Linked DNA regions of Coturnix japonica. The protein of the gene in region 1 interacts with the protein of each later gene in a biochemical or structural test. Links are inferred from orthologs where the notes say so. Each region holds a gene or a part of one and is shown in the gene's direction. Other genes may lie near its edges. The genes, in order: PDGFRA, PDGFA and PDGFC.

The links.
Region 2: the proteins of PDGFRA (region 1) and PDGFA form a complex in vitro, tested with the Homo sapiens proteins (2 studies listed by BioGRID). The link is inferred for Coturnix japonica from reciprocal best matches to the Homo sapiens genes PDGFRA and PDGFA.
Region 3: the proteins of PDGFRA (region 1) and PDGFC form a complex in vitro, tested with the Homo sapiens proteins (2 studies listed by BioGRID and IntAct, with this or other methods). The link is inferred for Coturnix japonica from reciprocal best matches to the Homo sapiens genes PDGFRA and PDGFC.

The regions. Positions count from the first base shown.
Region 1 is NC_029519.1:59,014,063-59,017,712, reverse strand, and holds part of PDGFRA (platelet-derived growth factor receptor alpha), read left to right. Parts: intron 1-2,056; coding exon 2,057-2,161; intron 2,162-2,880; coding exon 2,881-2,991; intron 2,992-3,263; coding exon 3,264-3,417; intron 3,418-3,650. UniProt on the Homo sapiens protein: Tyrosine-protein kinase that acts as a cell-surface receptor for PDGFA, PDGFB and PDGFC and plays an essential role in the regulation of embryonic development, cell proliferation, survival and chemotaxis.
Region 2 is NC_029529.1:2,120,965-2,125,073, reverse strand, and holds the start of PDGFA (platelet-derived growth factor subunit A), read left to right. Parts: upstream 1-1,194; coding exon 1,195-1,365; intron 1,366-1,920; coding exon 1,921-2,017; intron 2,018-4,109.
Region 3 is NC_029519.1:18,797,133-18,800,782, forward strand, and holds part of PDGFC (platelet-derived growth factor C), read left to right. Parts: intron 1-1,335; coding exon 1,336-1,531; intron 1,532-3,650. UniProt on the Homo sapiens protein: Growth factor that plays an essential role in the regulation of embryonic development, cell proliferation, cell migration, survival and chemotaxis. Potent mitogen and chemoattractant for cells of mesenchymal origin.

The DNA.
Region 1 (3,650 bases):
TATGGGGTGAATCCAAGTTTAATTTTGGCCAAAGAGCAGTCTGGTCAAGAAAACTGTTTGGGACTTCATATTTGTAGGCATGTCCTCTAGATGAGAAACATGGCACCTCTGCACTGGTCTCAGCAGATATTGCGGACCTGGGCAGAGCTTGGACTAAAATTAGCTCTCACACCAAGTACAGTCCCTCCAGAAGCTTCAGGAGCTTGGAAATGATGCTGTCTGCATGGTCCTCATGTCACAGAGAAGCAGTCCTCCAGCAGGCAGATCCCAGTCGTGCCTTTATACTAAGAGTAATAAATACACAATTTAATTTTGGTCTCTGCTGAAGGCCTTGACATCCAGAAAGTGATGGAGCTATTGCATTACAGATGCCTCCAACTTGTAAGCAGTCACCTGGCTCTGAATTTTCAAGTGCAGAACAGATGGAATGTGTGTGGAGAGGGGTGAAAAGGGGAATAGCAGCAATAGCTCCCTGTCACTCCGGAAGTGCTCCCCCTGCCTCTGAATGCACTCAGGCTGGGCCGAGGGACGGGAGGGAGATGTGTGTCTCATGGTTTGGGGAGGAATTGGCTCGTGAAGACAAGAAGATCAAGGAGCATCAGCAAACGCGATCACTTTCTGAAGGGCTGCATCCTGCCATGTGGCTCCCAGATTTTCGGGCTGAAAAATTTCAGGGGCCAAATTTCAGGTTGTTTGAATTAGTCTGAAATTTAGTGGGAAGATTTCTCACATCCTGAATGACTGGAAAGAATAACCTTTGGAGCGCAGGAATCTTGAGAAGAAACGGCATGGTTTTCGTGTGCATGACAAACTACACTGTCATGATCTTGGAGAGGTTTGTTAGTTGTAACTCAGCACGCACCATTTCTTGCTAATGATGTAGATATTTATTTTTTTGCTGGAAACTTTTTTCCTAAGGAGTGTATACAACAAAAGTATGGGCTGTAGCCTTAGGATAACAGAAACATGTGGCATTGCATGCCAGATAACACCTTCAGATGTGCAAAAGGCAGAAAGTTCAAACTGCAAGTGAACATCATGGACAGAATGTCATTTATCTCCATAGTAAAAAGCCCTATATAGTCTCCTCATGTTGGAAGTTAGAAAAAACAAACACATGAAATGAAAGAGCTCATTGGGAATATGAAAATGTCCTGGCATCTGGAGCTCATATAGGGATTCGTTTACTGAATAAATGTTGCCTTAATGAACTTGCTGTCCAATATGGAATCAATGAATTACAGCATTTTGGATAATGTTTGTGCACTTCATACTTCTCTAGAATTCTGCTAAATCTATACACAATTGTTCTGCACACTGCATCTGTAATAGAAAACAGGATATAATAACCAAAACTGTTTGTCTAAATTGATTTGTGGGAAGAGTAAATGTGTATAAACATAAGCTGTTTCATCATAGCACTTGGAAATTTGCAATAAAATTTATTCAAACAGATGAAACACACTTGTACATTAAACTTCAGAGGAGTTTCCCTCATATATGATCAATATGTATTTCAGCTTCCTTCATATTACTGATGGTCCTGCTTGTCTGTTTCTAAATGTTCTGCTGATTCTCTTCAGCCTGTCTTGTTGCTAGCTGTATCAGCATCAATATAACAGCCCAAAACCACAGCTGGAGAGCCCAGTTCATATCTGAAATGAAGGGCACAACTATACTCTAGTCAAATACCGGCTGAGGCAAGTTTAGACATAGGAATTTCAATGCTTAGGAAGGGTGAGTGTGGGAGGGCAGAATTAGGGACATATTTATATGAACTGCACTGTTTCTCAGAGCTCCTGTCCTACAAACTCGCACATATAGATGTGCTTCTAATGATTGCTTGCTTTCATTTGGGAACTGTACTTAATTTCTTTAAAATATATTTGCATTTTCTGTTCAACAACATCACATTATTTCTATTATTATTACTATTATTATTTTTAACACCAGTGTTCTGAGTGAGTGTACTCATATTCTGAAGAGGAACAGCAGCAGGAAATGAGGCTAATTGCTGTTACACCCTGGAATTAATAATGCTCTTCCTCATGTTCAGGTCGAATCCTTGGTTCTGGTGCATTTGGAAAAGTGGTGGAAGGGACAGCATATGGATTGAGTCGTTCTCAACCAGTGATGAAAGTAGCTGTGAAAATGCTAAAACGTAAGTTATCACTGTTCCGTTTTCCATTCTAGTCTGTGCACGTTCCCATTGGGTTATTTGAGCACTGTTTGTGTATAAGTAGCTTCTCAATATCTACTTTCAAATCTACCTGCAGTGTGGATGAAGCTGGTTTGTACCACTTGCTCAAGAGCAACGAGGAACTTCCTAGTGCTGTAAAAAGCAGCTTGCAAAGTCCCTCTGTGCCACACAAGCAATCCAGTGTACCCCTGGAAAAGGGCAAACAGATTGGGTCAACTCTTGAGATAAATTAAATAAGTCCTCTTTCCTGGTGGATATCTGAAGCCCTTTTGTTGCTTACAATGCTTCTCAACCAAGACATTTTGTTTTCCTTCTCCTGCCTTTCATGTCTTCTGCCCCATGGAAGAGGTCTCCATTAGCAGAGCTGGTGGTCATTCATTAGGTATTCAAGAAACATGGAGGTGTGGTACATAGGGATATGGCTTAGTGGGCAAAATTAATGTTAAGTGGATGGTTTGACTAGATGATCTTAGAGGTCTTTTTCAACCTTACTGTCTCTGTGATTCTATGACTTATGACTCTTCTCCAAGTCTGAAGAAGTCCCATTTTCAAGAAAAGGACACAGTCTTCTTCAAGAAATAATTTTAGAAATGTTCTTCTGAGGCAAGCAAAGGGAGATCAATTATTATTGTGAAAATAGTGATTGCTCTCACTCAGTGGTGTGTGTGCTTTTTCAACAGCTACAGCTAGATCCAGCGAAAAACAAGCTCTGATGTCTGAACTGAAGATAATGACACATCTTGGGCCCCACCTGAACATTGTGAACCTGCTTGGAGCTTGTACAAAATCAGGTGGGTATGGCTGATTAAATGGAAGCTTGCTGTGGAGCTGCCATTCACTGTTTAATAATCACACAAATATCAAGTGTGATTGACCTTAACATTTAATATGAATAAATACGAGATTTCACAAGCCTACTTGTTATTTGGTAGTAGTTACAGTCATAATTTAATACACTGAAATCTATTAACTTCTAGTAATCTTCTTGTTCTATATTTGATTCTATGCTGTCTTTGGGAGCTGTCGTTTTTGAAAGATGAATTATTTTGCCTTGTTTCATCAGGACCTATTTACATAATCACTGAATACTGCTTTTATGGTGATTTGGTGAACTATCTACACAAGAACAGGGACAACTTCCTCAGCCGACATCCAGAGAAACCAAAGAAAGACATGGATATTTTTGGGATGAACCCAGCTGATGAAAGCACAAGAAGGTGGGAAAGAAGGGGAAAAGAAAATGTATGACCTACAATATAAGGAATAGCATTACTAATCCTTATTCCTTACCCTTCATTCCTTGATTTGGAGCTCTCAATAATTCATCTCAATGGGCTTTTGTTTATCAGTGTTGTAATATCTAAAAAGATTTCAGCAGCAATCAAGCAATGTCATAACATCAGCCAGGATTAAGAAGGGGACAGAAATTCCTTCAAAAAAACACACTGGC
Region 2 (4,109 bases), on another chromosome or scaffold:
AGTTGCAGTTCGTCTCCGCTCCCCTTGGGATTTAAATCTTATTGCGTAGAGACAGATTATATATATATATATATATATATATATATATATATATAATTTTTCTTTCCTTCTTCCTTTTTTTTTTTTTTTTTTTTAATCTCTCCCGTGCAAAGTGAGGAAGGAGCTGCACCAAGGCAGCCCTCGAGATCTCGCAATAATTGCTCCGATTTATCGCTGCTATTATTCATTAATTAATTCCCGTTTTTAAGCTCACCCATCTGAGCGGGCCGCTCTTAAGAGAGAGAGACGTTTCCATCCGTATCAGTCATTTGATTTTTCGCCCTTTTCGCAAGGGAAAAAAAAGAAAAGCGGAGAGAGGGTGCAGGGCGGCCCGGCGGGGCGGGGGGAGACGCCGGCAAATCCCGAGCTCCGGCGGTCCCGGCGCGGAGCGGCCGCGGGGGGAGGCGGGACCCAGCGCCGCCCGCCAGGGGGGCGAGCCGCCCCACACAGGTGATGGGCGTTTCGGCTGCGCTCCGGATCGACTCCTTGGGTTTCACTTTGGTCTGATCTAAGCAAATATGCAGAAGTACCGGCTGGTCTAGTCCTAAGAGCCAAGAGGAGCGAGCGAGAGCGGCAGAAAGGAGAGCGGCCGCGCTCCCGTTGGAGGGGAACGTACAAACAGCGGCAGCGCCGTAATTCCAGCACCGCCGCCCCGAGGCAGCCCCGAGCCACCCTGGATGCGGAGGACCCTCGAAGCCACCCCGCTGCCTTTCCCCTGAGGGATGGTACTGAATTTCTGCGCGGCAGGAGCCGGCCTGCAGCTCCTCTCCATCAGCGTTGCCTTCCCTCCGTATCTAAAGTGCACTAGACCGCGATGAGGACCTGGGCTTGCGTTTTGCTGATAGGTTTTGGCTACCTGTCCTTTACCTCCTGCGAGGTAGGTGCGAGCGCTTCGCCGCGTTCTCGGTGCCCGAGGGACGCCGCAGCCGGGGCTCGGGGCGGGGAAGGGCTGCGGCTGTGCCCACCTGGGGCCCGCGGGCATCCCCGCGCCTCGGCCCGGCTGGAGGAACCCGCCCTACCCCAACCCCGAGAGGCAGAAAGCAAGTTGCCATTTCGTGCGTGCCACCGGCGAGGGGAATGACCGTGCATTCCGCTCCGGGGCTGCTGGCTGCGCTTGAAAAAAAAATAATAATATAGATGTACATACGTACCCGCATGTTTATAGGATATATAATAGAGAGATTCACGCCCCCCGGGTACAAACGGGCTGCGGTTATTTGCAAACAGAGCGGGAGCGGAGCCGCCCGACAGCGGCCGCCCCCGCGGCGCACAGCGCAGCGCGCAGCCCCCGCGGCACCGGCAGCGCTGCGGGAACGGCACGAGACGGTGCGGGCACGGGTTGGGTGCGGGCCCCGAGCTGAGCGAGGCCCGGGGGGCGAAGCTCCGGGGGGTGGGTGGGAGTGTTGCTACTCCCCGGGCTTCGCTACAGGTGCCTCGGGGTGGGGAGTGCGCGCCGCTCGGCGCTGCGGGGCGGCTTCAACTTTCCCCGGCCCCGGGGCTGCGGTAACCATCCCCGCTCCGGGAGAGCCGGGGTCGCCGCGAACTTTCAGACCGTTCGGGCAAACTTCGGCGGGCGGCTCCCAGCGGAGGCGGGGGGGGGCTATGGGAGAAGCGGCGCTGCTCCGGCGGGCACCGAGCCCGACAGCCCGGAGCCGAACCGCTCCGAGGTGCCCGGCTGAGCCGTGGCGCAGCCCCGCGGGTCCGCTCCGGCAGCCGGCGGAGCCGGGGGCGAATGTTTCCCCCCCTCGGTCCAAAAGCCCCGCGGCGCCCCGCGCCCTATTGGAAACCCCGTGCCCATCCCCCCGGCCGCGGAGCGCCGCGCGGAGCTGCGCTCTGACCCGCGGTGTGTGTGTGTGTGTGTGTGTGTGTGTGTCTTTGAAGGAGGCCGAGATCCCGCAGGAGCTGATCGAGCGGCTGGCGCACAGCGAGATCCACAGCATCCGCGACTTGCAGCGCCTCCTGGAGATTGACTCCGTAGGTAAATTAGTCCCGTCCTCCTTCCTTCCGCGCCGGCGGCCGCCGCCGCCCCGGGGGGGTGGCACCGCTCCGCGCCCCGCTCCGCTCCGCACCGCGCGGGGAGCCGGGCTGCCGAGGGAGGCGGCGGCCACGGGGCCGCTCGGGAGTTCAAACTTCGTGGGGTTCGGGGTGGAGAGGGACCCGGTGACCCGCGGTGTTTTCAGAGCTCAACGTCTGTCAGCAGAGAAGAATTTCCGTAAGGTTTGCTGTTCTTGCATCGCTCTGTTATCTTTAAACTACTGTCCTAGAGGTATTTAAAATATTTGAAACAATATTTATGAATGAAGTAATGTCTCTTCAAGCGCTGGGCTTTATTAAAAGCAAAATAAACCGTCCGCGTTGATTTTGAGCAGGAACCTGTGCATGGAGCTCACCCTGACAAACACGCTTTTCCCAAAAGAAAATAGCACGGGGTTATTTTCTGCATCATTAGGCGTGCAAATGGGTGTAGTGAGAACGTGCAGTTCAAACAGATCGTTGCAGCAGTAAATCAGATGGAGCAGCACAGGGTTGCTGGCTGCCTTATCGTTGGTTTCACTGGATGCACTTTGTTCCTGGTGATTTCGTGCCTCAGTTGTGAGAGAACAAACCCGACACCTTTGATGTGCCCAAGGGAAACCCGCATCGCTCTGAGGAGCAAACATGGAGAGAAATGAATGAGTTCTTGCTTGCGTTGGTACGGGGCCATCTCTTTCTAAACCATAAGCTGTGTGTTTTTGTAAAGGCTGTGCCAGGTTCAGTTACCTTCATTCAGTGTTGCAGGATCTTTCTAGAGTGCAACTCATCGCATTTGGTGTAGTGCTACGTTGAGGACAGCATTGGAAGATGTCTTAGAGGCATAGCTTTCAATTTTCATGTGATTAGGGAGCAGAGTTTCCCATTATACTGAAAATGGGAGTATTTCTTTCTTGCGCAGTACTTTACCATAGAGACCAATTAGTAATTACCAGATCTGTTGGCATTGCATTAGTATTTTTGGAGAGCAATGCTTCATCATCAGTGCAATTAAAGAAGCTTTCACAGCAGAGGAGGGGGATGCAGTGCATATCTCCCCTCTGAACATTGCTCTGGACCAGACAAGTGTGCTACTGCTGAAATCAGAGGAGGGCTGTGCTGCAGGAGGGCTGGAGCTGAGCGCTGGGATGTTGGAATGCTGTATTTGAGTCAGTGTTGTGTAGCTACCAGAGTACGTCTGTGTTTTCAGGTATGCCGTGCTTCATTTTTAAATACCACTTGCAAGGAGAGCAAAAGTTCACAGGGCTCCACTGAGGCAAGCAGACAAGTGGTGGAGGGAGCTGAATCCATCAGCGCGTGTAGCAGGGGAGAGAAATGTATTTCAGGAAAGAATTATTTACCTCGTGGCAAATATTAACCAGAGGATGTGTGACCAAAAACTGAAGAGGTCAGCCACGAGTTTACAGCTTCGTTCTGCTGTTTCCATGCGATGTGTCAATTTAGAAACCATTAGAGAAACGAGGCATACATATTTCACTATTTCAGTGCAAAATGGTAATGCTTTAAGACATGAACTCAAAACAATATTAAAAAATAAAACATCCGGCCTTTCAGCCTCTGCCTGCTCTGTTTGCACGCACGCTGAGCTACGCAGACAGGGCTGGATCTTCATAGGCAGTCTCTGCTCCTTCCTACCTGCCTGTATGCTTTCTGGGCATGGTCTTTGCTGCCGTGAGTAATGCCTATGGAGGGGTTATCAGAGTGACTAATCCAACATTGGAATTACCGTGTTTTCTTCAGCTAACAGGATTGGGCCTGTTTACTGTCTGTAATATGGGCTTGGCTTAGCAGATCAGCTGTGTTTTCCCTGCTGTTGGTGAGATGGTCTTTCTGAAATAAGTGCATTTCTTTAGGGCTGTCGTTGCATTTAGGGAAGGGCTGGTTTGGTGAGGGCCTGTGCAGTGGCTGTATGTCTCTTTTATGGCATGTACTGATTGGACTCAACAATCAGAATTACATACTCCAGCAAGTATCTTCTCCTTCATTTCAGTGCATGGTGCTGCCAGCCCTTCTGCGTGCGAGTAGCCCTGTTAAAACTC
Region 3 (3,650 bases), about 40 Mb from region 1:
TTACATAGTTTCAAATGTATTTTCATCACCATGCTGCTTATATAACAAACAAAAATGAAGTAACTAACTGACAAAACTAATTGCCAAAAAGAAAATAAAGTGAATTACTCCCCAGTACAAAACTATACATGTATTTAGTTACTAGGGTTATTAATTAGGTAACTGAGGATTGCTACGGTTTACTGAGTGCAGCGTCAAACTTGACTATATACAGATTTTTAGAAAAGGTCAAAGATAGTAGAAGTCTTGTGCTATAGCATGAAGATTTTTATTTTTTTTTTCCTTTGATGTGCTTATGGAATTAAATTTTGTCATTTAGAGATCTCATCATTTTCTGTCATGATGTTGAAAAATATTCAACTTAGATCCGTGCCTCCTGTTTGCAGCTCAGTCTTCCATACAGACTGATTCCAGCTGCTGAATATGAATTCCTGGGAATGCTGGGCACTTGGCAATGAGGTTGTTTGAGTTATTGTGAAGAGAGTTGTGTCCCTGACAGTCACGGTGGCCAATCACCAAAGGAGTCCTTTCCTTTTGGCAATTCCTCACACTTGTGAATTCATCACCAAAGAAACTGTTTTAGTGCTTCTGTGTGCTTTAAAGTCAAATGTAGTCAGTGTATTTCTTCTGAGTTCATTTACTGCCACATAAAACATTTATTTTTACATGTATCTTGTAGTCTAAAAAAGCTGAAGAATTCTGAGGGATGCCCTCTGTAGGAAATTGTCAGTAAATGTCTTATTTCATATACTTGTATACTTCCAAATAGCTTATCCCTGACACACTCCTGTGTCAGGCTAATGTTGTGCCAGTACATCCCTCAGCATGGTTGCAGCCATCATAATCCTTGTCACTGGACCCAGTAAATGTAGAAGTCTCTTCTAATGAGAGGCAAATTTATACCAGCCCTTTTGTGTGGTAGGTGTGTGGTGTGAGCAGCCCTGCCCTTGTACCTTCAAGTGATTTCTCTGCACTTCCCAGTAACAATGAACTGGAGCCATCAGCAGCCTGCATGATTTGGCTGCTGGACTTCTGTGAGGGCTCCAGTCTTGCATTTATGTGTCGGAGTTGAAGGAACCATACAGTCACATTTCTCTTACCTCCACTTGAACATGTGTTGTTTTCTGACCAACAGTTGGAGCTTGGGTTTGATTAATTTTGTTGTTTTTGCAAACCAAACTTTATCTCTTAATCTGCTTTTACTGAATAGATTTTCCTGACAAAATGAATTAAAAAGCAAACAGAACAAAGGGACTTTTTCTATGTATGTTATACACTTTAGGAAGAGGGGAAGAAATACAGTATTGATGTGTTTGTTTTCTCTCTTTACTACAGGAGTGCAGGATCCTCAGCATGAGAAGATAATAACTGTGACTTCTAATGGAAGTATTCACAGCCCCAAGTTCCCACACACATACCCACGCAATACTGTGCTAGTGTGGAGATTAGTAGCAGTAGATGAAAATGTGTGGATACAGCTTACCTTTGATGAAAGATTTGGGCTTGAGGACCCAGAAGATGACATTTGCAAGTAAGTTACTTTTGCTTTAACTTACAAAATATCATAAAGAAGATTTGGGGGATGGAACAAGAGTATTGCTCAGGTTTTGCAAAAATGTTTCACCTGCATATCAATATATTTATAAAAGCACATCTCTAATGTATTAGCTACTGATTTTCTTTTGCAGTGCTAGGAAAGCATTTCATGCTTGAAATATCATTTGAATGTCATATCCTGCTTTGATGTGTTCCTGGGGAGGTATTTCACACCAGTTTTTCCTTTCCAAGTAGGTTTTTTTTTTGCTTTATTTTTTCCCTCTGTTTTAGATTTTATTTTTTTTTTACTACTCTGTATGTTTGCTACTTGCTTTCAGTTTTTCTAATTAATTAATCTTCATTTGTTTGTATATTTCATATCTATTTTATTATTATTAATTTATTATTTTTTTTCAAGTTTGGGTTTCTTAGAGGTTACTTTTGAGCTTATTCTTATTTTGGGAGTCATGGATCGTAACAGATGGGCAGATATCTTCTTTGTAATTCTGAGGAGAGTAATTGTCAAGGCCATGTCAAATATAATAAAGCATATGTTTGCTCAGATGAGTGCACTCCCTTTTTAAATGAAAACTTAGCTTGCTTTTTCTTTTCTTTGCATGTGGCAGAGTGAAGTGAAGTGAAAGAAAATCCAGGTAGGGTGACTCATTCATCCACTTGCAAAGCAAAAAGTAAGATAAGTTAAAATATTTTTAATCTTGTGACTCGAATAGTATTTTAGTGGGAGTACATTTATTTTAAGTAAACAAGGAGATGAATACAAAAGCGCTAGTCAAATTAAAAAGCAGTATTAAGCCACTCATAATCTTCACCCACTCATAATCTTATCATGCTCATATTTGTGCATGTATACCAGGCAGCTGGATGTTTGCAAATCCTGGTATGTGCACTTTTGAGGACACATTAGTCTTTTTAACTTTGAAGATACAACCCTCTGAAAAAGAAATGTTGTTGTTTTTGACAAAGAAAATGTTCCTATATGGTTTAACTTCAGTAACAATGTAAGTAAAGGAAGGGAATATGTATCTTTTTTATGTGAAGTGAGTACAAACAGTTGACAAGTTAAGGAAATGAAAGCATTTAACTTTTGCAGAGTTTAGCTGCGTAAAGCAATTCTACACAGGCCAGTTAAATTATTATCATAATAATCTCTGTACAAGTAATGTCGTGTTTCTTAGGTCTTGTTCTTACTAAAATGATTTCATCTTCTTTCTCCTTTCTGTAAAAAAGCTGAGGGCTTTTGTTGCCTCCATTCTATTTATGACTCTGTTCTGTTTCTGCCATCTTGAAGGTCACAAATCCATATTGTTGTTGGAAAAGTAATCGATAGTTTCTCAAGACCAAATTTATATGACAAAGAACAGAATAAAATATAGAATCATAGAAAACTTAGAGTTGGAAGGAACCTCTGAAGGCCATCTAGTCCAACACTCCTGTGAGGAACAGGGATACCACAGCTCCATCAGGCTGCCCTGATCCAACCTGGCCTTGAAAGTCTCCAGAGACAGGGCATCAACCATATCACTTAGAAACCTGTTCCAGTACCTCCCCATCCTCACTGTAAATAACTTTTTTTTCCTTATATCTGACCTAAATCTCCCCACTTTGAGCTTGAAACTCAACCCTTTTTTTCTCACCACAGACCCTGCAAAGGAGTGTATTCCCTTCTTTCCTGTAGCTCCCCTTTGGATACTGACAGGCTGCAATCAGGTGACCTCGCAGCCTTCTCTTTCCCAGGCTGAACAGCCCCAGCTCTCTCAGCCAGTCCTCATAGGAGAGATGTTCTATTCCAAGGATCAATTTGTCTGCATCTGTTACTAGAAGCCAACATCTGGCTGGCTTGGCCATATTTGGATTTCTCCAGAGTCAGTTCTGACACTTCACTTCTTGTCCAGAAGGATTTTAACTGGTACTGAAGGTACCAGTTTAGCCTCCCTTTTAAATAGTTTCCTGAATCTGAATCTCATTATCCTGCACAGCTCTTTTCCATTCCATTTTTACCTGCAGTTCAACTCAGAAAATGTACTAACAAATTACTTACATTACAGCAAATTCTATGCTCATGCCATCAGAACCCAGTCTTAACTGGAAGCATA